4 linked regions of the Notamacropus eugenii genome follow. The protein of the gene in region 4 purifies or fractionates together with the protein of the main gene of each other region. This does not show direct contact. Links are inferred from orthologs where the notes say so. Each region holds a gene or a part of one and is shown on either strand. Other genes may lie near its edges.

The links.
Region 1: the proteins of INAVA (region 4) and CYTH2 purify together in Homo sapiens (co-immunoprecipitation; 3 studies listed by BioGRID and IntAct, counting the BioPlex papers as one, with this or other methods). This does not show direct contact. The link is inferred for Notamacropus eugenii from reciprocal best matches to the Homo sapiens genes INAVA and CYTH2.
Region 2: the proteins of INAVA (region 4) and CEP170 purify together in Homo sapiens (co-immunoprecipitation; 3 studies listed by BioGRID and IntAct, counting the BioPlex papers as one, with this or other methods). This does not show direct contact. The link is inferred for Notamacropus eugenii from reciprocal best matches to the Homo sapiens genes INAVA and CEP170.
Region 3: the proteins of INAVA (region 4) and SGF29 purify together in Homo sapiens (co-immunoprecipitation; 3 studies listed by BioGRID and IntAct, counting the BioPlex papers as one, with this or other methods). This does not show direct contact. The link is inferred for Notamacropus eugenii from reciprocal best matches to the Homo sapiens genes INAVA and SGF29.

What each region holds. Positions count from the first base shown.
Region 1 is NC_092876.1:12,827,917-12,835,843, forward strand, and holds the start of CYTH2 (cytohesin-2), read right to left. Parts: upstream 3,009-7,927; 5' UTR 2,876-3,008; coding exon 2,857-2,875; intron 2,460-2,856; coding exon of another isoform or gene 2,384-2,459; coding exon 2,236-2,383; intron 1,745-2,235; coding exon 1,678-1,744; coding exon of another isoform or gene 1,588-1,677; coding exon 1,469-1,587; intron 1,356-1,468; coding exon 1,275-1,355; intron 1,072-1,274; coding exon 959-1,071; intron 714-958; coding exon 565-713; intron 175-564; coding exon 1-174. Other genes in the region: KCNJ14 (ATP-sensitive inward rectifier potassium channel 14), read right to left, coding at 6,346-6,948. UniProt on the Homo sapiens protein: Acts as a guanine-nucleotide exchange factor (GEF). Promotes guanine-nucleotide exchange on ARF1, ARF3 and ARF6. Activates ARF factors through replacement of GDP with GTP.
Region 2 is NC_092873.1:404,072,416-404,079,683, forward strand, and holds the start of CEP170 (centrosomal protein of 170 kDa), read right to left. Parts: upstream 3,018-7,268; 5' UTR 2,284-3,017; intron 1,732-2,283; coding exon of another isoform or gene 1,686-1,731; exon of another isoform or gene 1,458-1,685; intron 1-1,457. Other genes in the region: SDCCAG8 (serologically defined colon cancer antigen 8), read left to right, coding at 5,990-6,110.
Region 3 is NC_092872.1:46,716,043-46,723,076, reverse strand, and holds the start of SGF29 (SAGA-associated factor 29), read right to left. Parts: upstream 3,014-7,034; 5' UTR 2,802-3,013; coding exon 2,694-2,801; intron 1,060-2,693; coding exon 964-1,059; intron 1-963. UniProt on the Homo sapiens protein: Chromatin reader component of some histone acetyltransferase (HAT) SAGA-type complexes like the TFTC-HAT, ATAC or STAGA complexes.
Region 4 is NC_092873.1:439,804,423-439,811,720, forward strand, and holds the start of INAVA (innate immunity activator protein), read right to left. Parts: upstream 3,002-7,298; 5' UTR 2,807-3,001; coding exon 2,599-2,806; intron 657-2,598; exon of another isoform or gene 495-656; intron 1-494. UniProt on the Homo sapiens protein: Expressed in peripheral macrophages and intestinal myeloid-derived cells, is required for optimal PRR (pattern recognition receptor)-induced signaling, cytokine secretion, and bacterial clearance.

The sequences.
Region 1 (7,927 bases), on a different chromosome or scaffold from region 4:
CCAGCCCCCTCCCGGCCGGCCCGCCCGGCCCTTTCCCCAGTGCTCCACCCCGGGCGCCGTACCCAGTTTGAGGAGCCAGCCCTCCCGGTCAGGGTTGAAGAAGGTGTGGGTCAGGTCATTGCCATCATCCTCGGGGATCTTGAAAGGCTCGTTGCGGATGCTGTCGTACAAGTTCTGAGAGGAAGAGAAGGGAGGGTGCATGAGGACCTCAAGCTGAGAGATGTCTGGGAGAGAGGGGCAGCTCACAGGAGGGAGGAGGATAGAGGCTGCAGGGACCCAGGCAGGGAGGGAAGGAGAGCCCAGCCAGGCAGCAGCAAGAGCCACAGCAGAGAAGGCCCAGTGCTTGCAGGCTCAGGCTGGCAGGGGTGGAATGGTGGCAGGAGATGCCGGCCGGCCCACAGCGATGGCAGACAGGGCCCTGGCCCAGCATTTATGGGCACAGGCTAGGTGTTGTGGGGGGAGGTGGCAGGAGAAGCCAACCAGCCCACGATGATGGCAGAGAGGGCCCTAGCCCAACATTTGTGGGCACAGGCTGGTGCTGATAGGGGCAGGTGGCAGCCTCACCCTGAGCAGCTCCTCGGGAAGATCACCGCCGTCGTTGATGCCCCGGTTCATGGTGATGAACCGCTCGACACCCGGCTTGTCTCTCACATTGGGGTTGTGCAGGCTGGTGTTGAGCATGATCACCGCAAAGGAGAGCACGTAACAGGTGTCTGCACTCAGAGGAGGGGCAGAAGGAGAGGGGAAAGGGGAGCTCACCACCTTCCTCTCTGGGAATTCTGGGATTGCAGGGAAGTCCCTAAATCGGCCTCCCTGAAAAATTCCCATGGCCTACTCCTGCCCTGCCCTCAGCCCCACCACCCCACCCCATCCCATCTGCCTTTCTCTGCATCCCCAAAATGTGCCAGCAAACAGTGGATACTGTGGTAATGTTCTGAGTGCCCTGGGTCAGGCCCACCTGTGGACTGGAAGACTCCCGGGTTGCACAGGCAGTAGCGCTGGGCGAAAGCCTCCATCATGCGGTCAATCTTCTGGGCCTCCCCAGGGAGGCGGAAGCTCCATAGGAACTGTCTGAGGGGGATGGAAGGCAGTGAGGAGGGGCAGCAGGGAAAGGACTCCCATCCCTTGCTATGGGAGCCTGAGAGGCAGAGGGGCAGCAAGGAGAGGGCCCCCCTGGTCACAGGTTGGGAGTGGACACACTGCCTGTCCAGGGTCCTACAGAGGTGGGCTCTGGTCTTGGCTGTTTTCCTTAAGTAGGGGGGGCTTGCAGTCACCTCAGTGCCTGAACCAGGTTGAGGTCCGTGAACTCATGCAGATCCACAAAGGCATGGAGGACAGCCAGGTTCAGTTCCTCCCTGGGGGGAGACAAAGGGCACACTGTGAGCTGCCCACCCCATGCCCACTCCTGCCCCATGCCCACTCCTGCCTCATGCCTATGTCTGCCCTGTGCCCACTCCTGCGCCCTCACCGCTCCCCCAGGTAGTCTCCGATGGCCGTCTTGTTGAGGCCTTCACCCTTGTACAGGAAGCGGGAGATCTCCTCAGGCGTGTTCTGCAGCAGCTCATTTTCCACCAGGAACTGGATTCCCTGCGGAGGGATTAGGAGAGAGGGTGGGAGTGAGGTGGGGTCTGATGGCCCCCCAACACTCCCAGATAACTCTGCCCTCAGCCCTGGCACCTTCTTGGGGTCCATGTTGAACTTCTTTCTCCCCATGGCCATCTTGCGGTTCCTCTGCAGGGTCTTACTGCAAGGGTGGGAAGGGGAGCTGTGAGTAGCTAGGGAACCTTCCACCTACCCACACCCAGCTGGGGCTGGGGTCTCGGGGCTCCCAGCTGGGGTTTCCTGGTGTCCCCTAGGGTCTTGGGGCTCCTGGCTGGGGTCTTGGGGCTCCCGGCTGGGGTCCCCTGGGGTCTCAGGGCTGACTGGGGTCTCAGGGCTCCCGCTGGGGTCTTGGGGCTCCCGGGGCTCCCAGCTGGGGTTCCCTGGGGTCTCAGGCTCCCGGCTGGGGTCTCCTGGGGTGTCGGGGCTCCTGGCTAGGGTCTCGGAGCTCCCAGCTGGGGTCCTCTGGGGTCTCGGGGCTCCCGCTGGGGTCCCCTGGGGTCTCGGGGCTCCCGGCTGGGGCTGGGTCCCAGGGCCCCCCAACCCCTTCTCTGACACCGAAGGGTGGCCCAGGGCAGCCAGCTCCGCAGCTGCACCAACAAGCGTGTCCTGGGCACCAGCCGCCACGCTGCCCACCTGCCCTCGTTGGCTTCCAGCCCCTCCACCTCGCTCATGGCCTCGCTGAGCTCATCGCGGAGCCGCTGGATCTCCACCAGCAGCTCCTGCTTGCGCCGCCGGATGCTCTCCAGCTCCAGGCGCTCCTCGGGGGTCAGGTCTGGGGGTACTGGGGGACACGGGGGGGGGGTGAGGGCTGGCCGCAGGGGTGGTGCGTCCGCGCGTGACCGCGTGCGGGGACATGTCTGGGGAAAGGTGCGCAAAGGTCTCCCGGGGAAACTGAGGCAGAGAGCACGGACAACACTAGGACTAAGTTTGGGAGCGGGGTTGGGGGAGAGAAGCCTTGGATTCTTCCCCCTTATCTCCACTCAACTGCCCCCCCAAACTCCACCCTCGCCTTCATTCTTTCCTGGGATGATTCCCCCTTCCAAGAAAAATGGTGTCTCCCGATCCAAGGGAGCCCCCCCCATGTGCGCCTGGGATAGTACATCCCATAGGCAGGAAATGGACTCGCCCAGGGAATGGTTTCGACCACGCCCCCCTGCGCCGGCCGGAAATGGTATCGTCCCGAACAATGGAATGGAACGTCCCGTCGCCTCCCAGCCCCCCAGCCCTCCGGAGCTCGCTCCGCGCTCGCCTCACCATAGACTCCGTCCTCCATGGTGACCAGGGCAGCCCGGCGCGGGCCCGTAGCGTGGCTCGGGCCACCGGTTCTCCGCAGGTCCTTGGGGCTATGCTCAGCCCCTTCGGCCGCTCCCGGGGCCGCCGCCGCCACCGCCTCCGCTCTCGTTTGGGGCCGCCCCCCGACCAATGGGAACCTGAGCTTGGCTTCCGTGGGCCCAATGGGCGTCGAGGGGCAGGTTACCTGGGCCAATGAAGCCCGGCGGAGGCGGGGCGTGAGGCGGCCGCGTTGCCTCGGTGGACAAGGGGAGGGTGACCGAGCGAGCCAATGGAACTCCGTGGAAGGGGCTCAGGGCCCCGCCCCTCAAGCTGGACCCAATGACGGTTGGGGCCCGGCTCAGGAGGGCGGTGCGCATAGAATCGGGAGTATCAACCCCTGAAAAAGTGACAGGGAGCAGACTAGGGAAGGCTTCGGCTTGAGATGGGCAAGAGTGTCTGCGCCTGCGTGAGAAGGCCGAGAGATAGACGGGGGGAGGTAGCCTTTCTCCAAGCCGGTGCGTTGCTAAGGGGCGGCAACAGAGCTGGGATCCAGAAAGAAAAAAAGTTCCGTTGCTTAGCAACAGCTGAAGGCTGTGGAAGAGGGCGGTGTTTCTAAGGGAACCCACCCTGTGCTTCTACCAAATCCTTTTCCCTTCTCCCATGGACTCCTCCCCTTCTTAGACTCCTGCCCTCTCCTCTGGCTCCTCCCCTTTTCTCTGGCTCCACCCCTTTCCCTCTAACTTCTCATCATTTCTTCAGATCCCATCATTCTCAAACTCCTCTCCTCTGCCCAGACTCTTCTCAGACTCCTAGCCTCACTCTGGGCCCTCCCTTGACTCCTCCCTCTCTATCCAGACTCCTCCCTCTCTATCCAGACTCCTCCCTCTCTAGCCAGACTCCTCCCCATCTCCCCTTGACTCCTCCCTCTCTAGCCAGACTCCTCCCCATCTCTCTTGACTCCTCCCTCTCTATCCAGGCTCCTCCCCATCTCCCTTGACTCCTCCCCCTCTATCTAGACTTCTCCCCTTCTCCTCCACCTTCTCCTCATCTCCCTTGACTCCTTTTCTATCCAGACTCCTTCCCCTCCTCATCTCCTCCCTCTCCATGCAGACTGCGTCTTCCTCTGGAGGTGTCCCTCTCCCTTCACCTCAGTTCTCACACTCTGTCTGTTTCCTCCTGCCTCCTCTCGGGCTCCTGTCCTTTCCCCTGTTCCCCCACATAGTTCCTAGTAGGGATTGCATTTCCAAATTGCTACTTCCTGCCTGGGGGAACCTTGACCAAATCACCTTTGGGTCTCTTTTCCCATCTCCGAAATGATGGAGTTGGCCCAGATGACCTCTGGCCCCTTGCAAATCTAACTCTGCCTTTGTGCACCCCTCCCCTTTTCAGGGTCCACGCACCACATCTCTAGTGGGAGCGAATCTTTGACCTCTAATCCAATCCATTTGTTTTACAGATGAGGTAACTGAGGCCCAGGTTCTCTGAGTGCACAGTTAGGTAGGGCTCTTTTCTTGGTGAAGAAACAGGAGGGAAAAAGGAGGTGATGACCCTGCTGTGGCTCCCTTCCTCACCTCCAGGTGACCAGCTTCCCCCAGGGATTAGCCATGGAAAAAGTTTCTGCCTCTTAATCCCCTCCCTGTCCCTGTTCTGACCTTCAGGAAGTCTGAAGCTCCCATATTCTTCCTGGTATCCAAGAAGGGGTCCTAGGTCTTCTGCCATGCCCTTCTCCCTAGGCTACCTCCTGATCCCACCTGGGCATCCTCAGCACTCCCCCCACCCTTTGAGGCCTCAGGTCTCACCTTCTCTCCCCCTACAATCCTGCAGCGGCCTGGCTAATTAATTCCTTCCGGTCCTTATCAGGGTTACTGATGGATAAAGGCCATAGGAGGGGGGTGGGGTGAAGGGGGAAGACAGGGCTTCAGAGGGATGAAAGAGACCTTAGGAGGCTGGGGAAAGAGGGATGGGGCCTCTGGAGGATGGGGGACTGGGCAAAAAGGGCCATGAGGTCTCTGGAGTACGGTGGGATATGGGAGAGCTGGGACCCTGGGGAAAGACCCTGAACCCAAGCATGGGCTCCAGGAAGCAGGAGGGAGCCCAAGGTCCAGGTTGTGAGGGGTGGGGTTGGAGGGGGGAGGATGGAGGGCCCAGATGGGATCCTGGGTGCCTCCACTCTTTCCCCTGACTCAAGCCCCCACTGCAAGCTGGCACCTCTCCCTAGGCACACTCATGAAAATGAGGCATTGGGCCAAGGGCCAGGACTGTGGGTGGCAGCCACCCCTCACCCCTCTCACCCAGACACACATACACACACACACACACAGATGGCTTCACAATTCTTTATTCTGGGGGCAAGGGCAAGCCGGTTCCCTCCACCCCCAGGCAATGGTGGAAAGGACCCCAGGGTCCTTCAGTCTCCTCCTCACTTGCCCCAGAGCCTAGGCAGGGGCAAGGCAGGGCAGCCCAGCCCAGGGCTCAGTCTGGGGTGACTCATGCTGCAGCTTTCCCAGTGTCCAGAGGCCGTGCCAGGTCCTAACAGGAACACCACCTGCTTTGTTCTAGGGCCTTCCAGTAAAGTCTCCAGTGAGGCTAGTGAGCGATGCCACCTCCCAGGGTGCGGAGGTCATAGGCTCCCCAGCTGGCAAAGCTGAAGGAAACACATTCCAACCCGCTCTGGTTAACAGGAGAAACAGAGGGAAAGGGGCTGGATTCCAGTCTGAGGTCTCCTGCTTGCCCAGAATGACCTCCTTCCTGAGACCAAGGCCACTCTTGCCCACCCCTTCTGCAGCAAAATCAGGAAAAATTATGGAGAGTATATATGTATATATATAAATGTGTAGATAGTTAATATGCACGGCATTCTGGAGAAAGACATTGGCTACTTGGGTGGCCCAGAGCATCCAGGATGCTTCTTAGCCTGGAGGCCAGGCCAGGCTCCTCATGGCCCCAGGACCTGGGACCCTCCATGGCTTGTCCTCTCCCAAAACAGGGGCCTGGACCAATGGGTATCCTGGGTCCCAGTCTTTTCTTGAGGGTGAGGGGTCTAGAACAACCCTGGCCACCCCCTACCTCTTGGACTCCAGGCAGGATTAAGCCCAGAAGGAAAGGACTTGGGAGGAGTCACGTGAGGGTGTCCATAGGGGTAGAAGGGAGGGGGACCTTCATTCCCCCTTGTTGGGAAACTGGTGAAGAGGGGCTATGGATTCAACTCATCCAGAAGGTTCCACCCATAAACCACCTCCCCCATTCCTAAGGTCCAGGGTTCAGGAAGCATGCATTGCCTCCCCTTCCATCCTAGCCCATGCCCCACAGAAGGAAGGGGCTCTAGGGCTGTAGGGGAGTCCCTGGGCCTAGATTCCAGCTGCTCCCCAACCTAGGACTACAACTCCCACAACTCCTGGGGAGGGGTGTAACATGATGCACCACTGAGGCAGCCAAGGTCCATGATACTGGGAATTGCAGTCCCCCAGCCCTTCAAGGAGGTGGGGCCAATTCAGGGGATGGAGGTGGGGGTGGGGTGGGAGCTCCAGAGCTGCCCTCCACCTGGGCTTCACCCCTCTCTTCCTCCACCTCATCTTCCTCCTGGCAGCAGCTGAGGGCCACCTCATTTTCGTAGCAGAAGGCAGCCAGGGTGCCGGGTAGGCCACCCTTGGGCCCAGGGCTGTCACTGTCCCCCAGGGCCCGACGCTCCTCCAGCTCCCGAGCACTGCAAATGGGGGTCCCTGGCACCTCGTAGGTTCGGTGAAAGTGACGATAGTCCACCTCATAGTGGGCCCCTCTCTGGAAGAGCACAGGCTCAAAACGGTGGCCCCACAGGAGTTCCCCTGGCAGATAGGACGAGCGGCATTGGGTGGTCATGGCTGTGGCTTCCACCATGCCCTCCAGGATGACCACCAGCTCAAAGTCCGCCCTGGCCAGCTCAGCCCGGCCCATCTCGTACAGGGGGCTGGAAGCATCGATCTCATGGACAATGGTGATGGGCGACACCAGGAAGATGCGGTCTGTACCCCCATCAAACCCCACGTCCACATCCTGGTGATCCAGGGGAATGTACTCGCCTTCTGGGGTAACTCGAGGCTGGGACAGGTACAGGATAGTCAGAGACAAAGGGCAGAGAGAGCAGAGAGACAGACACATAGGGAAGAAAAGGAGATGAAAGAAAAGGTAATGTGAGGATGGAGAGAGAGACCAAGATGCAAACAGAATCAGGCCATCCCCAAAACAATGCAGCAGAAATGGGGAAGCGGCCTGCACCAAGGGCCATCCACAAAGACACCAGGGGCCAGGAGGCCAGGGTGGAACACACAGAAATGGAGAAAGACACAAGAAATGATTTTCACAAGTCAGAAGGGGACCCAGAGACATGGCCTGGAGGTGGTATGAGCAGGTCTCCTTCCTCAACCTCAAATGAGATCTGTTCCCCCCACCCAATTCCTTTTGGACAGTGTTGAACTACCACTCTCAAGGTGGCCTTCCCAAAGTAGGGTCAGGATGTTGAGGCCAGAGCAGGCCCTGAGCCAGTGTACAGGACAGGAATTTAGAAGGAGTGACTTCCCCACCCAGGGAAGGGCCAGTCCTAGCCCTTCCACAGGATGGGAATTTCCGAGAACACCACGATGATACCTGGGCTTCCCAGGGTCAGTCTCCACTGGGGCCCAGCTGGCCTTGACTGTGCCTTTGGAAGCCACATTTCCCATGAGCTACTGGGACTCAACCAAACCAGGGAAGAGTCACACTTCCCTTCTTGTGAACCCCTGGGGTGCTCCTCGCTTCCAGACTGGGTGGCGGTCATGGCTTCTTCAGGGAGCCCCTAGTTCCCAGGAGTGCCGGAGGCTGCTGTTCTACAGACTACAGGGGGATGCCCTCCCTGCCTCAGAGGGCTGGGGGCTGCGGTCCTTAGCCATAGGATCCCTCAGAAGCTCCTGGGTCTCCAGCCCCAATCCAAGGGCCGTGGATGGGGACAGCCCCAAACCCAAGGGCTACTGGAAATTGTGGCTTCCTAGGTACCCTGGACAAGAAGACAACGTTGTCGCCACAAACCATCGGGGCCCCGGGG
Region 2 (7,268 bases), about 36 Mb from region 4:
TCAGGACTGTTCTTTCTCCTCCCAACCTGAGAAGCTTATACCTGTCCGATTCTGAGTAAGTCCCTGAAACCTCAGTCTCGGTTACCTTATATTAATAATGTTATAGAACTGCTGAGAGAATTGAAAAACTTATGTAAAGCACTTTGCAAACCTTAAAGCTCTATGTAAGTGCTAGTTATTTTTATTATTTAGCCAGGGAACACAAAAGAACTATTATTTACCTTGTTGAATTTATTTTTGATTCTTATGGTTTCAATATGGCTGCTACAATTGCAAACATTATATATTATCATAGAGAAGCAAGGAGTGACCTAAGAAAAGAATTTTTACTCTCTCAGTGCCTCAAACAATGCTCTAAGATTTAGTTACAGAACAATTGCTAATATGCACTGGTAGAGGGAATTTCCTCTAACTGGAGTTCCCTACACCAAAAACATCATAGATCTGGGGGTGGAGAAGTAATAGAGGGTCAAGATCAGATAGATCACTTATAGTGGAATTGAGCATATATAACAAATTATCTTCAGATAAAAGTCCATTTTAGGACTAGAACCCATTTTTCTACAAGTTAATGATGCCTACGCATAAGTTTCATTTCCCTAATTTCATTTGTCTAGAACTTTGGCTTCTTATTTTTAAAAATTTACGTGTAAAATCATTATCAATTATTCTGATTGTGAAAGAAAACCCAAAGAATATGTACAGTACTGCAAAAAAAATGCACTCTGTACTAAATAAAAAATTCAGTTCAACCTCTGCAAAGACAGTACTATGGTAAAGGGGTTAAAAAAAAAAAACTACTCAGGAAAAGGCATTCCTAAATGCTACTCTGGAGACTGCAACTAATTTCTCAAAAAATCTTAGACAAAACACAATGTATACACCTGAGTTCACTTCCTCATCTACAAAACAGAGAGACTGTGTACATGATAAGGTGCCTTCCTAACATGAGTCTATTATGCTGGTACATGGCAATTATCTTCAAAGTTGGAAAGCAATCACTGCAAACCCGGCTTTCACATAATGGCTGAAACACGTTCTTCAACCACTTGGCATTTTCATAATTGAGTGACAACCCTAGATAGAGAATTCAAAGCAGCATTTCCCCCTTTCTCTTGATTTCCTCCTCATCCTGCTTTGTCCTTTCCTCCCTTCCCTCTATTTGCGGTCTGACCAGTATTCAGTTATAAACAACACTATTTAGGAACTGAATCATGAAAAACTTCATCTACATATTATCCATCACCCGGTGATGTTTCCTTAAAACAAACACGTAAACATCGAGTGCACGCCTTGGGCACGGCTGATTGAAGAATAACACAAAAGAACTCTTCCGAAATAAGGCACACCAGTACAGGATCCACACGGCAGGAAAACAAAAGAAAGCCCCTCGCGGGCTCCCCACGCGGGCTCCCCACGCGCGCTCCGGCGCCGGCCTGGGGGAGCCTCGCTCCACGGAGCGCTACAACACCTCCAGATTCTCAGACACTCGGGCCCTGCCCTCCAGAGGCTTACATACAGGCTGTGGAAAAACACACAAAAGAAATCCGGAATAAAGACGAGACCCACGTAGGAGGAGGCTTATGTAACGCGGACAGGAGCCCCACAGCCTCCAGACCCACACCGGGCACCATACGGAAGGAGCCCGACCCAAAGCCGACACCCGCCGGGGCATCGCGGGGACAATGAGGGGGACGACGAAGGCCGCCTCCTCCCTCCGGGGAGGGAAGGGTGAGGACGGCGGGGCTGCGACCGCGGCCAGGCGGGACCTGACACCGCCACACACGCACACACACGCACAGACGCACCCCACCCAACACACACACACGCACGATCTGGTCCCCTTCCCGAGTGTCCCCGCCGCTAGCGGCTCTTTCCCGCCCGCCCATCCGTCCCCTCGCGCCCTCCGCTCGGCGCGGGGAGGAGCGGCACAAAGCCACGGAACACAAAATGAATAAATGCACATTTCCAGGGGGAGGAGTCAGCCGGCAGCCGCCGAGGCCGCCTGGGTAGCAAAGCCCAGCGGAGCCCGGAGGGAATAGAGGGAAGGGGGGGGCCGGGAGGCGGGGCCGCCGAATCCCCCGGGGCGGGGGGGGGGGGGGCGCGGCGCGAGGAGCATCCGGAAAGCAGCACCCCCCCCCCTTTTCCTCTCCCAGCTGCACTCCCCCCACCCCGAAAGCCCGGCCGCACACCAGGGGTTCTCCTAGAAAGAGGATCTGGAGAAGGGGAGGCGGCGGCGACGGCATCACTGAGCCAGGCGGCTGAGCAGAGCGCATCACTTACCCCTCACCATAGCGAGAGGGACCGGACGGGGGAGGCGGGGCGCGTCGCGTCCCGTGAGTCTCTCGCACGCCGTCCCCCCGCCAACCCGTCGCCGTAGTCGTCGTAGTCGTCGTCGCTGCCGTCGCCCCTAGACTCCCCGTTCTCTTCACCGTGCTCGGCAATAACGTTATTCCACACACGCCCCACACATAGCGGTAACGGCAGAGAGCGGCCGCCCACTGCGCAGGCGCGTCAGGAGAGGCCGGGGAGGGAGCCCTGCCCCCTCCTCCTCCCCCAGCTCTCTCTTACTGCGCAGGCGCCAAAGGCAGACAATGAAAAGGAGTTGCCTGGAGGGTCGTTGTCCCACCCACACGATTTCGCAGCAGCCCACTGCGCAAGCGTGCCCCTAGGACCGGCAGAAACAATGAAGAAACTACTGTCATTAGCTTGGACTGCAACCAACAAGGACTACAGATCCCAGGGGGCAGTGCGCCAACTCCACGACAACTGGCCAGTTCCCTTGGCATGCTAGGATTTGTAGTCTCCAGGAACTACACATCTTTCACTGTTGAAATTGAGTTTTTTTCTCCAGCCAAGGCTACTCCTGGTAGTAGTAATCGAAGATGGAACCGTAAAAAAGGAGTCATAACGTTTCATTCGCTTAATTGTAGGAGTCCATGGATCAAAACCAACACTGTCTTCCCTCTACCTAAACACAATAAAACTTCATGGATTCTCCCTTACAGCAAACATTAGCATCTAATAGACTATGTAATTGTAAGGAGAAGAGACAGACAAGATGGGAGAGTGACAAAGGCAATATGTGATGCAGAGTTGCTGGACTGGTCATAGACTTATCCTTTCCAAACTAAATATTCGAATTCATCAAAAGCGCCGCCCCCCCCCCCCGCCCCAAGGCAAAATAACTACCAGAAGAATTAATGTCAACAAATTAGAGCTCTTCTCTGAGCATGAACAGTTTGCTGCTGACTTGGAGGGAAAATTGAGCCTATACACAACTGGCAATACTGGAGCCGAAAAGGAGTGGGAAACTTTCAGAGGCTTGGTGTACATCCCTGCATTTGCTCACAAACGCTGGTGTGATGGAAATGATGGGGAAATTCAGAAGCTGGTAAATGAAAAACAAGAACTCCACAGGATTTACCAGCAGGATAATTCATCCACCTCTAAGAAGGCAGCATTTAATTCCATCAAAAGCAAAGCTTAGAGAGATGTAGGATTCCTGGCTCAGTAAGAAGGCAGAAGAAATTCAGCTTTATTCTGATGGTAACAATCCAAAGTGCTTTTGATTCCCTAAAACCTATTTATGGACCAAAAACCTGTGGTGCTTCACAAGTACTCAGTGCTGATGGAGCCACATTGATTAATAATAAGGACATGATCCGAGAGAGATGGGCTTAACACTTCCATAGTATTCTCAACAGACCATCATCAATCAATGCTGAGGCCATTGACCATTTATTTTCCTCAGGTTGGAATCAATCTCTCCTTAGCTGAACTTCCAATTGAAAAAGAAGTTTTGAGGGCCATTAGGATCCTTTCATGTGGCAAAGCATCTGATGCTGATTCTATTCCAGCTGACATTTACAAGGTAAGGAAACCATTGCTCATACAATATCTAACTGAAATTTTCCAAGTTATATGGCAAGAGGAGGTTATCCCCAGGAGTTCAAGGATGCCTCCATTGTCCATCTCTATAAAGGTAAAGGAAATAGATTGTCCTGTGACAATCACAGGGGAGTCTTTCTCTTAGTCATTGCTGGCAAAATTCTTGCTAGAGTCCTTCTTAATAGGTTGATCCTTTACCTGGGAGATGGTCTACCTGAGAGCCAGTGTGGCTTCAGAAAGGGCTGGGGAACAGTTGATATGGTGTTTTCTGCCCGACAACTCCAGGAGAAATGCCAGGAGCAGAACAGAGGTCTGTACACAATGTCTGTAGATCTGGCCAAGACCTTTGACACTGTTAGTTGTGAGGGCTTATGGAGAATTATGTCAAAATTCATCAATATTGTATGTCAGTTTCATGATGGTATGTTTGCCTAGGTTCTGGATAATGGACAATACTCTCGTGCCTTCACAGTCATCAATGGAGTGAAACAGAGCTCTGTGCTTGCTCCCATGCTTTTTTAGTATGATGTTTCCAATCATGATGACAAATGCTTTCAATGAGGATGAACGCAGCATCAAGGTCAACTGTCATACTGATGGTAAGTTCTTCGATTTGAAAAGGTTACAAGCCAAGACCAAAGTGGAGGGAGTGTTGGTGCATGATTTTCTGTTTGCAGATGACTGTGCACTCAATGCAGCCTCTGAAGCTGAGATGTAACAAAGTATGGATCAATTCTCTGCTGCCTGTGCTACTTCTGGCCTAATAATTGACACCAAGAAAACAGAGGTGCTCCATCAGCCACCACCACACCATCCATGTGTGGAGCCATTGGTTACAACAAATGGAGAAGTTTTGAATGCTGTGGATAAGTTCACTTAACTTGGTAGTGTACTTTCCAGGGATTTACACAGTGACAATGAGGTTGATGCACACATTGCCAGAGCTAGCTCAGCGTTTGGGAGGCTCTGAAGAAAAGTTTGGGAGAGAAGAGGTATTAGACTGACTACCAAACTGAAGGTCTACAGAGCCATTGTGCTGACCTCATTGTTATATGCTTGTGAAACATGGACAGTCTACCAGTGCCATGCCAGGAAACTGAATAGCTTACATTTGAACTGTCTTAGGACAATTCTGAGGATCACCTGGCAGGATAAGGTACCAGACACTGAAGTCCTTGCTTGGGCTGAACTGCCAACTATTCAAACGATGCTTCAGAGAGCACAGCTGGGATGGCCTGGCCACGTTGTTCCAATGCAAAATGTATGCTTGCTAAAAAGACTATTTTATGGAGAGCTCATATGGGACAGGCGATCACATGGTGGCCAGAAGAAGCAATACAAGGACACTCTAAAGGTCTTTCTTAAGAACTTTGTATTTACCTGTGCAACATGGGAGACACGGGCACAGGACTGCTCAGCATGGTGTGCCCATATCAGAAAGGGAGCTGTGCTCTATGAACAAAGCAGAATTGAGACAGCACAAAGTAAACATGGAATGCACAAATTTGGAGTATCCAGCCCAAATATTCACGGGGACTACCTGTGCCCATCCTGTGGTAGAGCATTCTGAGCTCATATCAGTCTGATCAGCCACAGCAGACACCCTGAAATTTCACTTTAACACGGTGTTGTCATTTGGTCCTCTTCCAAGATGAAGAACAACCAACAATGGTAGGGCAAAGATCTTCAGAAGCTCATTTTTTTGGTAGTTGGGTGTTCCAGACTGCCTAAGAAACGAGAATGGGGGAGGGGGAAATTTGGAGTCTGAAGGAAGGGGAGGGTGGAGCCTCCAAGCTGTCTCCAGGCAACTGAGCTTGGAGGCCAAACTGTCTCTTCCCTGTGCGCGGTGCTTCCTGGGAACTGTAGTGTTCCGTAGACTTCTTCAGGGTCTAGAAAGCGGCAATACGAGAACCTGACGGACTACAACTTCCACTATCCATCATGGGGGCCCGCGGGTGGACAGCGCCCGCCCCCTCCCGCCAGCCAGGTCCTGCCATTCAGGCGCCCCTCTGACAGCGAGGTCTGGAAGCTAGGAGGCTGTGGGCCCGTTGCCCACCGAGGAGGTTCTGTAGGAGCTTCTACGGGCCGGGGTCACTGCATGGCGAAGGCCTTGGGGGATCCTGCCCCGGCAGAGCCCCTGAGGGACCCTACCCTGGAGGAGGCTCTGGGGGACTCTGCCCTGGAGGAGGCTCTGGGGCACTATCAGCGGAGTCTCAGGGGTGAGTTACGGGTCGTTTACCGCAGCCCCAGCCCCGGGCTTCCCCGGGCTTCTTTCCACGGTCTGGGCCGGCGCTCCTGGATCTTTCCTCCGGTAGCTCGTGACTTGTGTGTTTTCCAACACTTGTGTGAGTTCCTCCCCGCCACGCGGGCAGCCTGATGCCCGGGAAGGCTTGATGTGCCCAGGGTCGGAGTAGGGTTGGGATCCGGGGCGTTGCTTAGCTTCAGAGACATGGCCTTTCTCTCCTCCTTGTCGGGGTGTCCTCCTCATCCCTCCAGCACCGCTTCTCCTTCCTCTCATGATCGTTCCCCAGGCCTTGTCCCCTATACCCCTCACCCCATTATTTCTTGATGTTCTCTTTAACGCATCCTGCTTCCTGGAGTCTTCTAAAGTCGGCTTTCATAGGCGCTGTTGGGTTAAAATTAATCAAGAACCGTTAGCAAAGCACCCTTTATTGATTGAAACCAGATTCTCTTGGAAAAGATCCTTGCCCCAGGATCGTTATCCCCGGGAACCAGATAACGCCTGGGGCGATGTCGCTCCGAGCCCAACCACCAACTTTTCAGGTTTCTGTAGGAACTGGGTAGCCCTGTTTGCTGTCATCCTAGGTGAGTCACCTGATGACTTTCGGGTTTTAATCAATGATCACATTTGATGGGATCTCAAGTAGGAAACAGCCAACGTTGTGTCTACTGAAATGGCAGGAATTTAAACATTGGTCATCTTTATTTAATGAATACCCTTCTGAACCTGATGAGTGAAATGAGACCTGTTCACTTTGAAAGCAGGAAACAGTTTAATAAAAGTAATCTTTTTGTTTTGTTTTTATGAAAATAAAGCCCAAACGTTCTAGTTCTAGCTCTTTGAGGGTTTCCTCCCTTGCATATCTGGTAGGACTGGCTCCCTCTCCCACTGACAAGCTCCTTCTGTCAGTTCCCTCTAGGAAGGACCCCAAGAAAATGTACTGATTGGGACAATTAAAGAACAGTCAAAATCAGCTGAAGCAATAAAGGTGTCACTTCCTCCTTAACCTAAACACCTCCAACTCCATTGCTCCATTCACTATGTAGTAAGAACTCATTTAATAATCATTATACTTTACTTAGTATTTCTAGACTATATTGACTTTCAAAGTCATAGTTATTTCATTATTAGGTAT
Region 3 (7,034 bases), on a different chromosome or scaffold from region 4:
ACTGATTTGGATCAAAGATCTGAGAGCTGAAGGACTTCAGATTGTCATCTAGTCCATCCTCCTCCTTCTACAGATAAAGAAACTGAGGCTCATGGAGGTTATATCACTTCTGAAATGTCAGACGGCATCAAAGACAAGATTTGAACCCAGGCCTCTGGGTCCTCAGCCAATGCTCTTTCCACTGCGCTCCCTACGTCTCTCAGATGCAGATGGAGGTCTCTATGTTGGTTGGTTTTACTCATTTTTTTTTTTTTTTGGTTACAAGAGAGAAATTAAAGAAATGGAAGCAGGGAAGGTTAGGGTTTTTACTTATTTTCATCAATAAAACTTTGCTTAAACATACACCTATCCACAACTTTATTGTAACCATTATGCATACCTAGTTTCTCCTATATATGTGTGTGTGTGTGTGTGTGTGTGTGTGTGTGTGTGTGTGTGTGTGTGTGTGTGTGTGTGTATACACACACATATATATATACCTCATCCATGTTTTGCTTAACTATTTAAAATGGTACAATGGGGAAGAAAAAATTAATAAAACTTGAAAATAAAACCCCCAAACTTCCTGAATATCTCACTTCCCTTACTATGACTTAGGAACATCTAATCAACATTTCAAAATAACATCATTAATACTTTATAGCCAATTCAGTTGCAATTTTAGCTATCAGATTGTCCAACAACCTCTGCTCCCTTTAGTCTCCTGTCCTTCAGACCTAAAGCTCACTTGTCCTCTAGCCTTTTCTCCAACCCCCCAGACTTCTGTTCTTTTTTCTGTTCAGGAACCACCACTTACAACGCTGTTCCTCTGGCACTGAACAGCACCTCTAATACTGGTTTATTCTAAAATCATGTTTTCAGCACTGTAGGAAGGAAGCCTATGGGACCTTAATTCCCTTTCTAATCACCCTCTGAGTCTTCCCAAGGTCATCCCCTCTTCTGAGGAGAAGAATCAAGTATCACCTGAGTTTGCTTGATCAGCTGATGGAGCTCCGTGAGTAGTTCAGCTATTCTCGAGTCTGCTGACACCAGAGCCATGGCTGTGGTAAATATGGCTTTCTGTGAGAAAGGGGAATGGAAGGGAAGAAAAGAATGGTCAAAAACCTCTGGGAGGGGAGGCTCCTAAAGGACCAACCACACTGGGGCATTCAGTAAGTTTAATTCATCCAGCAACAATTGCAAACAAGTTGCTCAGAAAGCATGGCATTGCAATAACAACAGGGGTATTTTAAAAAGAAGATTTAGTCCATGTCCTCCCCGTGCTTACAATCTATCAAGAAGAAAAGCAATATCCATGAGATAAGAGAAAAAACTGGATTTGAAGTCAGGGGACTAAAAGCTATGCCACTCACTAGCTTTGTGACCTTATGCAAATAAATTTATTTCTGAGTCTCAGTTTCTTCATCTGTAAAACTAAGTGATCACTAAAATGTCCTTCCAACTCCAGATTCTATGAGGCTAATACTAAGAAAAAACGATAACTTTATCAGTTATGAATTACTGAGTTAGTTTATAGTAGGTCTCAAACTACTGACAGGTATTAAGGAAATTCCAAGTTTTAAATGAGGTTTGGCAGGCAAAAATGTGTCTTAGCAGAAGGCCTTAAGATTACTAAAAAACAAGGGAAATTCTACTGAAGGGGAACCTACAACAACAAGGAGGAGATAGCATTGCACCTGCAGAAGCTGTTAAGACAAGTGGGGTTAAAAAAGAAGGGTCATGTATAGAAGCAATAGCAGGTGAAAAGACACAGTAAGGTAACTGTTTGAAGGGGCCCTGGACTGCAAGGACCCTGGATAATTTTGATTTAATGGAACCTAGTTTTTACAGCTAGAAAGGACCTCAGAGATCTGTAAGTCAGCTTCCTCAGAGAGGAAAGCCCAGAGAGAAAGCCACTTTTACCCAAAGCTATACAGGTAGTAAATAAAAAAGTTGCTATCTGAACTCTTGGTGCTCTGACTCCAAATTCAGCGTTCAAACTATTCTAGCAATAAGATGCTTTGGAAAGGGGGAAAAGACCAAAAGCAAGGAAATCTGCTGTCCTCCTAAATTCATCCCTTATAACTCCCAAAGGGATTTGTTCCCATAATTTTTTCCTTTTTTACAACAGAAATCAGAATATTTGGGGGATTAATTCCCCATCTGTTTATTATCCCAGCAGTTTACTACCTGAAGTGTTCTCAGACATATCCCTTGGCTTTTCTGCAGCTCAGTTTTCATATGAAGGAAATGAAGGGGTTGGGGGTGCGTGATATGATGCTTTTACCTGTAACTTCTCCCTTTACACAGCTGCAACCCCACTACCTTCTAACATACACAAGTCTCCACCTAGAAAAATTCTTCATTTGGGCTCCCTGTCAACTCCGACCAAAGGAGTCTGGACCTGATCTCACAAGAAAGAGGAGATCAGGGAAGGGCTTTCAGACCGAAAGGCGGGAGAGCCATGATTCGGGGGACAACCCCCAGAACCTGCGCAGAAGGGCGACCCCCCAGGGGGCCGGCTCCCCCACTGACTACCAGCCCCGGCACCTTGGGCAGGCTGGGATACCTGGTGACGCTGTGTCCTCCTCCGTTAAACGGGGTGATCCTGGCACTACCTACCTCCCAAGGCGGCTGGGGAACAAGAACTAAGCCAACTTCAAGTCGGCCCCCAAGCTCCCGGGAAAGCCCCGGGGTTCCCTCGCGCTACCGACCTCGTGGCGCTGCAGGAAGGAGCGCTCTAAGGGGCTTTCTAAACGGCCGCCACTATCACTACCGCGGCTTTCGGGAGAAGGACCCGCCGAAGCCATGCTCTCCTTCATGGCCGCCCGCAGCTCCTCCTGCGCTCCGCGCTCCTCGCACCGAAGCACGTGCTTCGGAAAGCTTTGCCTCCTCCCCACCAGCCCACGTGCTTCCAAAGGCCGCCCCCCACGTGGTACGCCAGGCGCGGCCCCGGCGAACAAAGAACCCTCCGCGGCGGGTGCGTGACCTCTCCCCCCTCCCCGCAGCCCCCCTTCCCGGAGCCCCGCAGGGTGCGCATGCGTACTGTTAGTGTCTTGGGGCACCACAGCCTGGCCCGGGATGGGGGGAGCACAACGGGTGAGATGTTGCCGCTCCCCGCTGCCCCGCTCCCCTGGTCCGCCTGAGGCCCATGGCTGCTACCTAAACCCACCTACCGCGGACGAGCCAAAACGAGCCCACTGTGACGGAGGCGATGAAGACCGCAGCGACGGCAACTGCAACAACCCCCCTGAACTTTTCTCATCCTCGTTCCCGGGCTAGGGAATGTTAGTGCGCTTGCGTATGCGCACCTACATGGCCTGCCGGGAAATGTAGTCTTTCTCTCCAAAGAGACTGCGGAAAGGGACCCGGGACTCGACTTCTACGCGCTGGCCCGGCGTGCTCTTTGCTGGGAAATGTAGTTTTAAGTCCTGCGTTTGGCAAGCTTCAGAATCTTGTCTTTTTTCCTGTTACACGTTCCCGGTTTACGTTCCTCTAGATTCTGCGTTCATCTGTAGAGGATTTGTATTACAGAGCCTTAGGAGCTCAGGTTTTCTGCTAATTGCTGTGCAGTCGTATCCGACCCTTCGGAACCCCATTTGGGGTTTTCTTGGGGACGATACCGGAGCGATTTGCCATTTCCTTCTCCAGCTAGATGAGGAAACGGAGGTAGAGTTGAGAAGAGAGGGAGTCATACAAGGGCTTTCATACTGAAAGAGGTATTTTAGGAAAATTGGTGTGGCCGAGGTACAGGAGAACGATGTTTCAGGTGATAACAGCCTGCACCTGGGCAGAAAAAGGAGCAGTGGGCGGTGTCGAGGGGCAGAACCCACAGAGGACCAGCTCCCCTGCTTACTACCACCCCCAGGTCTTGGGCCACGCTCCCACTAGTAAGTGTCTGAGGCCGGATTTGAACTCGGGAAGGTGAGTCTTCCTGACTCCAGGCTCAGCACTCTGTCCCTGCGCCCCCCTAGTTGCCCGAAGTCAAACCATCTACTTCTTAGTATCATCAGTGAGGGGGGTCGTTGCTGAGGACGATGGAGAAGTGTAGAGTAGGTACCTGTCCTAGGGTCCACTGAGTGACAGATGCTTAAGAGCTGAAAGACAGTTCAGAAATCATCCAACTGAGTCTCTTCATTTAATAAGGAAGACACCTAAGGCTGAAAGAAAGTAGGTGTTTCCCCCACGCAGATCATACAGCTACTTTGTATCACTGGGACCTTACCTAGTTAGGTCGGTTAGCATCACTAAACATAGAACTGAAAGACTTGGCATGAAGAGTTTAGAGAGATGTTTGTATCCTTCACCTTCAGTTTCTAGGAATGCATATAAAACAGTAGCAAGTAATACAGGACAAATTCTGAATTTCAGATTAATCACTATCTAATCAGACCTTCCTAATGAAATTCCACTACTCATTCCTAATAGCTAGATGATGAGAGCACAGTACTTGGAATGAAAAAGACCTGAATTTAAATCCTACCTCAAACATTTATTAGGTGGGTAAGTCACTTAAGCTTTTTCTGCCTCAGTTTTCTCATCTGTGAATTCATGCAGTAATAGCACCTATCTCCCAGGGTCCTTGTGAAGATAGAAACTAGACGATTTTTATAAAGCTAATTATATAAATAATAATTGTTATTACCTAGCATCTGTTTAAACATTTTAAGACATAAATTTTTATTGATAATCTTTTGTTTTTACATCACCTAATTTTTTCTTATATCCTTCTCCCTTGCATCTTCCATATAGTCATCCCTTGTAACAAAGAATTTTTTAAAAATGAAAAATAAGAGAGAAAAAAACCAATCAATATATCTAAAAAACTCTGACAATATATTCAATGTTGTAAACCCCATAGTTCCCCCATTTTTGCAAAAAGAGTAGGAGAAGGGTGTAGGTCTCTTCTCATATCTTTTTTTAAAAATTATTTTATTTGTTTTCAGTGTTCTACAATCACTTGCATGTATCTTAGATTTTTTCCCCTCTCTCCCCCTCCTTTCCCACCACCTCCCCAAGATGGCGTGCCATCTTATATAGGTTCTACACATATGTTCCTATTAAATACATTTTCACCGTAGTCATGTTGAATAATTAAAATGAATAGGAGAAACCATAAAACAAAACATAATACAAAAGAAAATGGTCTACTTCATTCTGCGATCCAGTTCCATAGTTCTTTCTCTGAATGTGAAAGGCGTTTTGCCTCAAAAATCCATTGGGAATTTTTTAGGTCCTTGCATTGCTATGAAGAACTAAATCTACAAGAAAAATTCCCCACACACTGTGGTTGTTGCTGTGCACAAAGTTCTCCTGGTTCTGCTCCTTTCACTCAGCATCATTTCGTATAAGTCCTTCCAGGCCTCTCTGAAGTCTTCCTGTTCATCATTTCTTATAGTACAATAGTATTCCATTACATTTCTATATCACAATTTGTTCAACCATTCCCCAATTGATGGGCATCCCCTCAATTTCCAGTTCTTGGCCACCACAAAGAGAGCTGCTATAAACATCTTTGTACATGAGACCCTTTCCCATTTTTATGATCTCTTTGGGATCTCGTATCTTCTTTAGGGCAAAATTTGTGCTGCAACACTTTAAGTGACAAGGAGCTCATTACCTCAATAGGGAGTGAGTGGGATAGGTTTAGTGAAGACTTCTCAGATTGTAATTCTTCTCCCAGGAGTGAGGTAAGACCTAGAGGCTCAAGGTTACAATATTTTTAGAATAGAATAGTTCCATATAAGGATATAAAACTGTGTAGTATATTAGGGTCTCAATGACTGGATAAAACTTATGTAATTCCTCGATGTCTTCATTTCAAAAGGGATTGGTTAGATTTCGTGTCTAGAATGTAAGATCATATTCTCAGCTAATGAGGATGATGGTCAGTGGGGGGAGGAGGGACTTGCATTAGGGTCTATATAAATCACTGCCCTTTTCTTTGTCTTCAGCTTTCCTACTCCTACAGGTTAGCCCCGCTTCTCGAGAATCGAATAAATCACTTTTCTGTCATCACTTTGAGAGTCCTCTGAGTAATTGATTTATGTAGGGACCTGAGCCATTCCACACAGTTGCCTATTTTATTGTTGGACAATTGTAACTGTTAGCAGTTAAAACTTCCTCTCTGTAACTTACATTCATTGTACAAGTTTTATTCTCTGGAGCCAAGGAGAATGTCTAATCCCACTTCCATATAACTCTTCAAATATTTGAAGACTCAACCAAACAAAATCTTGTATTGGACACAACACAATTTAAAAGGCATTGTTATTCATCATCATCACCATTATCATCATAATAATAAACAGCTAGCATTTATATACTTTAAGGTTTGCAAAGCAGTTTACAAATACCTCATTTTATTCTTACAAGCACCATTGGAGGTAGGTGTTTTTGTTATCCCTATTTTATTGATGAGGAACTTAAAGTAGACTAAGAAGTGACTTTCCCAGGGTCACACACCTAGTGTCTGAGTCAAGATTTAAACTCAGGTCTTCCTGACATTAAGTGAAATCCTCTAAGAAGAGAAGATTGTAAAAATGGTAAAAATCACAGCATTAATGTCAGAAAAGGTGCAAGAAGATATTAGGAGTTAGTTCATAGTTCTGCTTTTCACCTATGTCAGGTGTTTATGAAAATGATCTTTACACTTAGTAATGGGTGTTCTTCACGAAAATACCAAAATGGAACAAATAGAATTTCAAAGATGATTCTCTGCAGCAGACCACATCTTCATGTTGAAGTGCAGGGCATGGGTCTCAATGTTGTCTCAAAAGAATTCAGACTCAGACTGTCTCCAAATCAAGTAAGGGCATCGATTTGGAGTGATGCACCCAGTGGACTCTAATTCAGTGAGACAGCAGCAGCAGTCAGGAGAAGCTAGGGATTTTAATACAGGAAATGTGCCACGAGGGCAAGGAGATGAGGTAATCAGGAATATGCAGGCAAAGGGTGAAAGCTCAGAGTTCTGTGAATATCCTGTTCAGATAAGTCTTCATTTCATTGGCCAGCCCATTTGTCCAGGGCAGATCTCATTATTAATCTCATCATTC
Region 4 (7,298 bases):
TCACACCTGGAAAGGACTCCTCCACATCTCTCTCCATTCGGAGTCCATCTCTCTCTAAAGTGTTTCCTTTTCTTGATATCCCAATCCAGCTGCCTCATCCTCCATGAATGCTTTCTTAACCACCTTCCTAACATGCAAGTGACCTCTGCCTCCCCAAATTTCTCCTACGTTTGCCTGGATCTCCCTTTCCGCCTATCTCACTCTCCTTCATTTCGGTGCATTCTTCCTTCATCCTCACGTCCCTATACCCATTAGACTATAAGCTGTCTGAGGCTTCAGCTAAGTCAAGTATTATATCACTCCTAGCATTCAATATGGTGTTAGACATACCTGATAAAAGTATGCTAATGAGGAATGACTATTTTTGTATCTCTGATATCTTTGTATACCTAGAACAGTACCTTGGGGAGGTCTAGACCTAGGCTTCCATTAGTGTAAGGGAATACCCAGCAGGCACTTCAAAACTCTTATGTGATTTAGTCTTCAGGAGTTACCTGGGTCACTGAGAGAAGCGACTAGCTGTGGTCACACATCTTCATTCTATGACTCTTTCATGGTGTAGCAGGATGTCAGGATATGGGAGGCTATATCAGGACATGAATCCTGCCTCTGACACTGGCTATGAGATGCTTCAACTCTCTGGACCCCTTTCCTCACAATGAAATGGAGATCATAATACTCACACTAACTACCTCACAGGGCTGCTGTGGTAAAGTACTTTGTAAGCCTTAAAGCACTATAGGAGGTGTGACTTGTAGGATTATGATGGATCCAATACCCCCATTTAACAGAGAAAGAAACTGAGGGTCAGATATGGAATGTTTTAGACTGAGTATCAGTTTTCTTGAATTTTTTCATCCTGAAATTTCCCAACACCTCAGGGTCTCCAAAGCCTTCCAAGAGCCAAAGTTTCAAGTGGAAAACTCCAGGGCTACCAAATAGCAACCAGAAACTAGTACCAGTCCCCTCTGCAGAGGATTCCAGTCATTGAGTTTTGAATGCTGTCCCCAGGCCTACCACCAACTCAGCTCTAGGCCTGTTTCTGTTTTTCCCAAACCCCTTTCTTCCCCACTCCCCCTTTATTGCTTTCCCAGAGCTAGATCTCCTCCATTTCCCCCCTTTTCCCCTTACACCTAGCCGGCTCTCTCACATTCCTTACCCACACCCTCTCCAAACAATACCCTCCCCGAGGCCCTCCCAGCTGACCACCAGATCCTTCCCTCCACAGCTGACCTCAGGGTTGCTGCTGAGGGGCCCAGGCAGGGAAAATCCCCTCCCCCCCCCCCCCCCACCTCCTCTTACTGGGAGCCTGAAGAGAATGCAGCAATCTTTAGAGGTATGTCTTCTAAGAAGTAGGGAAGCAACCCACAGCTCTAGGCTCCAGCTAGGAAGATGGACTAGGAATAATGAGAATTTCCCACACCTCCTGAGTGTAATATATGAGGAAGCATGAGGAAGCAAGTGTATCTTCTACCATATTGATGTTAAAATCTGGTTCTCACTGAATCCCTAGAGTTCCGGTTGACCTAAATGGATGCTCTCTGCTCCCCTCTCTCCCAGCACTTCCTCTACCTTCTGGGGGACACTAACATAACATGGATTAGTTAAAGAGTATGTGTTGGGGAAAGTGAGGGAGGGTCAATCTGAGGTCGAAAGGAAAACAGCTTTGATAGGAGGGACTCTGAATAGGCCTGAGCAATTTTGGAGGACCCTTGGGGCCATTTGACCCACTATTTAGCAAAGGATAGTGTCTTCCAGACACTGGATTGCTAAGCGTCTAGATTTTCCTAACTCAACCCTTCATCCATGTCTTTCTCCCATGGTATGAACTGAATGACTCAAAGTCTCACAGACTTCCCTACTCAAAAAGGGGTGAGAGTGGGGACTCTTCCTTTTAGTCTCTTAAAGATACAGCAAAGTTGCCTCTTATTCTAGAGGTTTAGGGTAAACTGGTCTAGTGGAGGGTAAGCTGAGTGAGGGCAGGAAGCCTATCTTAATCTCTGTATCATCTAAAGTATCTAAAGCAGAGGCAGGTATATTTCATTCATACTGTTCATTCATTCAACCACAGGGACAGACAGACCAAGTAGGGGACAGGAAAAAAAAGGAGAGAAACAGCCCAGGCCAATTAAGAACTGATGGCAATCAGTTCACTCTTGTGCCCCCCTCTCTCCCTTGGCTCCCCCACCTCAAAGTTCAGGGCAGGTCTCCTACCTTGGAAAGGGTGCTCCGGTGTGTGAGTGTGTGTGCAGAAGTCCGAGGCAGGGGAACAAGCGGGAGGCAGGCTTAGAGTGGGTACTGAAGTCAGACCTCGCTCCACCTTCTTTAAAGAACTCTTTTGTCCTGTTCCCCCACTGCCCCCCACCGTCCAGCCTTAGCTTCACCCACGATCCCTATTCCACGGCTCCTCCCTCCACGGTGTGTGTGTGGGAGGGGGGGCGGTAACGCAGGCAGTCCTGCTTGGGAGACCCGCGTCCCCCCGATCTGTCCAGTCGCCCCCCGCAGCGTCTTGGTGCCCGGTCTCGCGCCCCCACACACACACACCACGCACTCCGCACCCCCACCCCCGGCCGGCCCCTCTCCAGCCCCCAGCCTCACCTGCACGGGGGGGCGGCCGCCTGCCTCGCCAGCCCTCTCCGCAGGGTCCCCGCAGAGGTTGGGAGCCCGCCTCCCGCAGCGTGCTCCCGCTCCCGCTCCCGGAAGGAGGCTGCCCTGACTGGTTCACAGCCGCGGGGATTTCATTTAACTTCGGCGTTTGCTGCATCCCAAATGTTAAAGATCCCAAGACATCTGTCCCATGGGGCATACCAAGGGCCAGAGGGAAGGGGGGCTCTGAAGGAGGCTCGGGAATCCAGGTCCACGGGGGGGGGACCAGGACCCCGGCCTGGGATCGAAGGGTCCAGTAGGCGCAGGGACCATGGAGGCCAGGGGCCTGTGGGGCTGGGAGGCCCCCTCTGCCCCTGATCTGGGGTGGTGCAGGGCCCCTCACACCCCCCTGTGTCTGCCCAGATTTTCAGGGCCCCAGCCTCAGAGAGCGCCTTTGATCTGGGGAGCGCCTGGCGCCCTGCACTTTTCATTCCAGCAGACCCCGGGGTACAAAAATGAAAGCCACAGCCCGGAGACCCCCACGCCCCTTCCTCCACTCTCCTTTTCCTCCATTCCACCCCCACCCCCAAGCAAGACAAAGTCCCGGATTACTTCTGAATCCCGGCTGTGGATGCTCGGGGAGGGCGGAGGCTGCCCGGTACCTTTCTTAGCACGGTGCCTGGCTCGGAGTCCGGGCCTAATCGAAGTTTATTGTCTAAAGGTCTCCCTCCCTCGGGGGGCCAGCCGGGATGGTGGCCTGGTGCCTCTCCAAGTCGGAGATCTGCCTCCACCTTCCAGCCAGGAGAACGGACCCTTCGAAATATCCCATTTCCCCAGGGTTAGGACCTTGTGCCATAGTGAAAGGAGCCTTGGGTTTGGAGTTGGAAGAAAATCTCGGTTCAAATCCCAGCCCTGCTGTTTGGGACCTATGTACTCCTTGGTCAATTCACTCAGCCACTCTGGGCCTCAGTTCCTATAATCTGTAAAATAGTACTCCTTGATCCAGGGACACACTGGCCTTCTGCCTATTCCCAGAATAAGATATTCATGTCCCAACTCCTGACAATTCCCTGTTGCCCAGGCCTAGAACCCTCAGCCTGACTCCCTTTAAGTCCCAACTAAAATCACACCTTCTACAGGAAGTCTTCCCCCAACCTTCTGAATTGCACTGCCTTCTCTTTGTTAGTTATTTCCTATTTATCCAGTCTATAGCTTGCTTTGCATAGATTTGTTGGTCTCTCACTCTTTAGATTGGAAGTTCCTTGAGGGCAGGGACTGAACTTTGCCTCTTTTTGTATCACCAGTACTTATCACATTCTCACTTTAAGTGACCTAGGCCTAAAAAGGCCAGAGTCTCCCCTTGCATCCTGGGTCATCTCCAGTCCTCCTGATAAATCAGGTCTCTGGACTCAGATGGCTCTGGGGGAGAAAGCGAGATTGGTGACCTTGCACAGCCCTCTCTCCCTCAAATCCAAGTCAACTGCAAGTAGTGTCATCCTCTCCCTGATGTCATGGTCCTCTTCAAGAACTAAACACAAACACAACAGTCACCAGGACTTAGCACGTTGTCCAAAACATTATGTTTATTGAAGTGAATTAAATTGTCAGGACTGAATTTGATGACCTATCTGGTCCCCCCAAACTCTACAAGGGTGAGCGTATAACTTCGGGGAATAACCTAGGAAGAAAAAACAAATCCCAGGCTCCCAATGATAAAAAGGTACATCATTTACCAGAATGGAAGACATGCTGTCTTGAAGATACCAACTCCAACTCCCAGCCGAAAAAGTAGGCATCACTACCCGCCATTCCCTCCCCAAGAAGGGGCAAGAATAGGGAAGGAACAAAGGAAGGGACAGATAGATGTTTGCTTGTGAGAGAAACAGAATTCTCCTTCCTATTCAGGGGGTGAGGTAAGGAAAGGCATCTCTGGTGCCCCTGGGAACGCCCTCAGAATTGCTGTTTGGGGGATATGCCTGGCAGCACTGGGGATGTTGCCCCCATTATGTATGCCCTTTCCTCTCATTAAGCCTCTTCCCAAACCACTCCCCCCGCCCAGTGGAGTCCTTTGTGGGAAGGCCCTTGTCCTGGGATGTGTTCTGGACTGCCCACCTTGTCATTCCTTGCCCTTGCTTTAGCTGGAGAGGAAAATCCCTGGTTGTTTTATCTTCATCACTTGTTTTACTACAACAGGCTGGGAAGGAGAAGGGGAGATTTAACCAGAGAGGGGCCAGACAGTGACCTGTCTCTGCCCTCGGGCAAGACATCTTCTGAAACCCCAGAATGACTCAGGGCCCCATCAGCAACATTTCCTGCCCAGACCGCATCCTGAAGAACAGGAGGGCAAGGTGGCTGGTCATAGTGCTGGCAGCTGGTATTGCCAGGGAGCAGTCAGAATTCCCCTCAGCCCCTCTCATTCTGTTCTCAGCCACCCTAGAAGGCTCTGCCCTGGGATTGGGTCGAGGATGCAGTAGCCAGGTTATCGGCTTCGAGCAGGTGAGTGACAGAGGTCTTTTCTCAGATCCTCCATCAAGACTGGGGAGTATCATTTAACTAGGGTCCAAGCATAAGAGTCTAGGGTGAGGATGGGAAGGGGGGTGGCATGTCAAAGGCAAGGAAAGGACCTAGGATACCTGAGAAACTAAGCCACTGGAAGAAGGAAGTGGGCAACCTCCCAGCCATGATTAGTGTATTTCTGAAGGGAAACCAGAGGACTCTCTTCAGAACAAGACTTTAGAGGTTATCTCTCTAGTCCATGTTGCGTTCCATTGAGATGGAGTGATGTGCCCAAGGTCACACAGGTAGTGACAGTGTCAGGATTCAAACCTAGATCTACTGATAGGGCTGGCCTTAGAATCAGTGGCTACAGGTGTGAATCCTGCCTCTTCCACCAGGGAGTCTTTGGGCAAGTCTGTTAACCAGTTTCCTCATCTGTAAAATAAAAGGCTCAAGCCAGATGACCTTTACAATCCCTTTTGGTTCTAAATCGGTGGTCCTCTGACTCCAGAGGGGCAGAGTTCTTTGCCTTCCCATCCCGTTGCCTCTTTATCCAGCAGAGTAAAGAGCCCAGGCCACTAAGCAGTTTCTTGGGGATCTAGATGTCTCGGTTTGTCTTCCTCCTCTGCTTTTCATTCCCCTATCCTTCCTCAGTCTCCCTTTCCTCTGGCACATCTCTCCCTGAGTCTCCATCCTTGTCCCACTACTTCTCTTCCTGTTTTCATCGTTATTTGTCTCACTTATGATTTTCCGGGGGGGGAGGGTTCATCTTTTCCATGGCCATAGAAAACACCTTGGTATCTGGATTCAATATCTGTCTCTATGTCTCTGTCTATGTCTCTCTGTCTCTGTCTCTGTCATTGTCTCTTTCTCTCATATCAGTTTACATGACCCCATTTAAGCCACGAGGTGGCACCATTTGCCAAGAGAACTTTCTTATCACACTCTGCATACCCCCTAACTCCCACCCCACTACCACCATCCCCAGGAAAGTCCTTTACGTGCCTTATGTCCTAGTTCAGACCCTCAGAGTGAATAGAAATAGAACTCTCCAAAGAATTTCCCCTTCCCTACCTAACAATTTTTTGGACAAATCCTTCAATTGGAGGGGATCCCACCTCCAAATGGAGCCCCCATCCCATACCTTTCAGTGAGTATTATGTCCCTGGAAGATTAAAAAAAAAAAAGACTAATCCCTTGGATGTATTTCCACCTAAGAATCTGAACTGGGTTTGAAATAAATTTGAAAGAAAATGAACAGTAAAGAGCTGTCTGGCGTTTACTTCTCTGGGACTGCCAGGTAGAACAGAGACACTACCATTTGGATTCTAAGCGTAGCTCTGCTCCAATTTCCCTGTGCCTCAATTTACCAAACTCTGCTTTCCCTCTCTGCATTAAGAAAGCAGAATGACCTTGATAAAGAAATAGCCAAAAGTGGATGTATTTTATGCTGAGGCCACGTTGCTCTGAACAGTGCCTGAGCTGTATCTAAGGCAGGGCTACTGGGGCGTTGTACTGAAAAGTAGAAGGCGCCCACAGGTCTTGTTACTGAACCTTAGCACTCAGCAAGAAGAATCTAGAGTAAGGATGGGGGGGTGGGAGAGGGGTGGCATGTCAAAGGCAAGGAAAGGACCTAGGATACCTGAGAAACTGAGCCAGTGAAGGAGGGAAGTGGGCAACCTCCCAGCCATGGTTAGTGTAGTTCTGAAGGGAAACCAGAGGACTCTTTTCAGACCAAGACCTTAGAGGTTATCTCTCTAGTCCATGCTGAGTTCCACTGAGGTGAAGTGATGTGCCCAAGGTCACACAGGTGTTGACAGTCAGGATTCAGACCTGGAAATGGAAAAGTTTTAGATGGAACAAGGTGGCCCCCGCTGAGGCGAATGCCTTGATTCCCTTCTCTACGCCTCTCCCCCCAAATCATTCAATGAGGAAGCATTTATTAAGCACTTACTATGAGTTAGGCATTATGCTATGCCACAAGGATGCCAAGAAAAAAAGAAAAGAAAAGGAAGAAAGAAGGAAAGAAAGAAAGAAAGAGGTTAGACTCAGTGCTAGAAAGAATTCCTTCCCTCAACAAGTTTATATTCCACGGGAGACACAACTTATTCATAAATTAATATAAACAAAGGACATACAAGGTAATCTGAGGGAGAGGAGTGAGGAGGGCCCTCGAAACTGAGCCCTTTATTAAAGATAGTTCTTGGGCTCGCTTT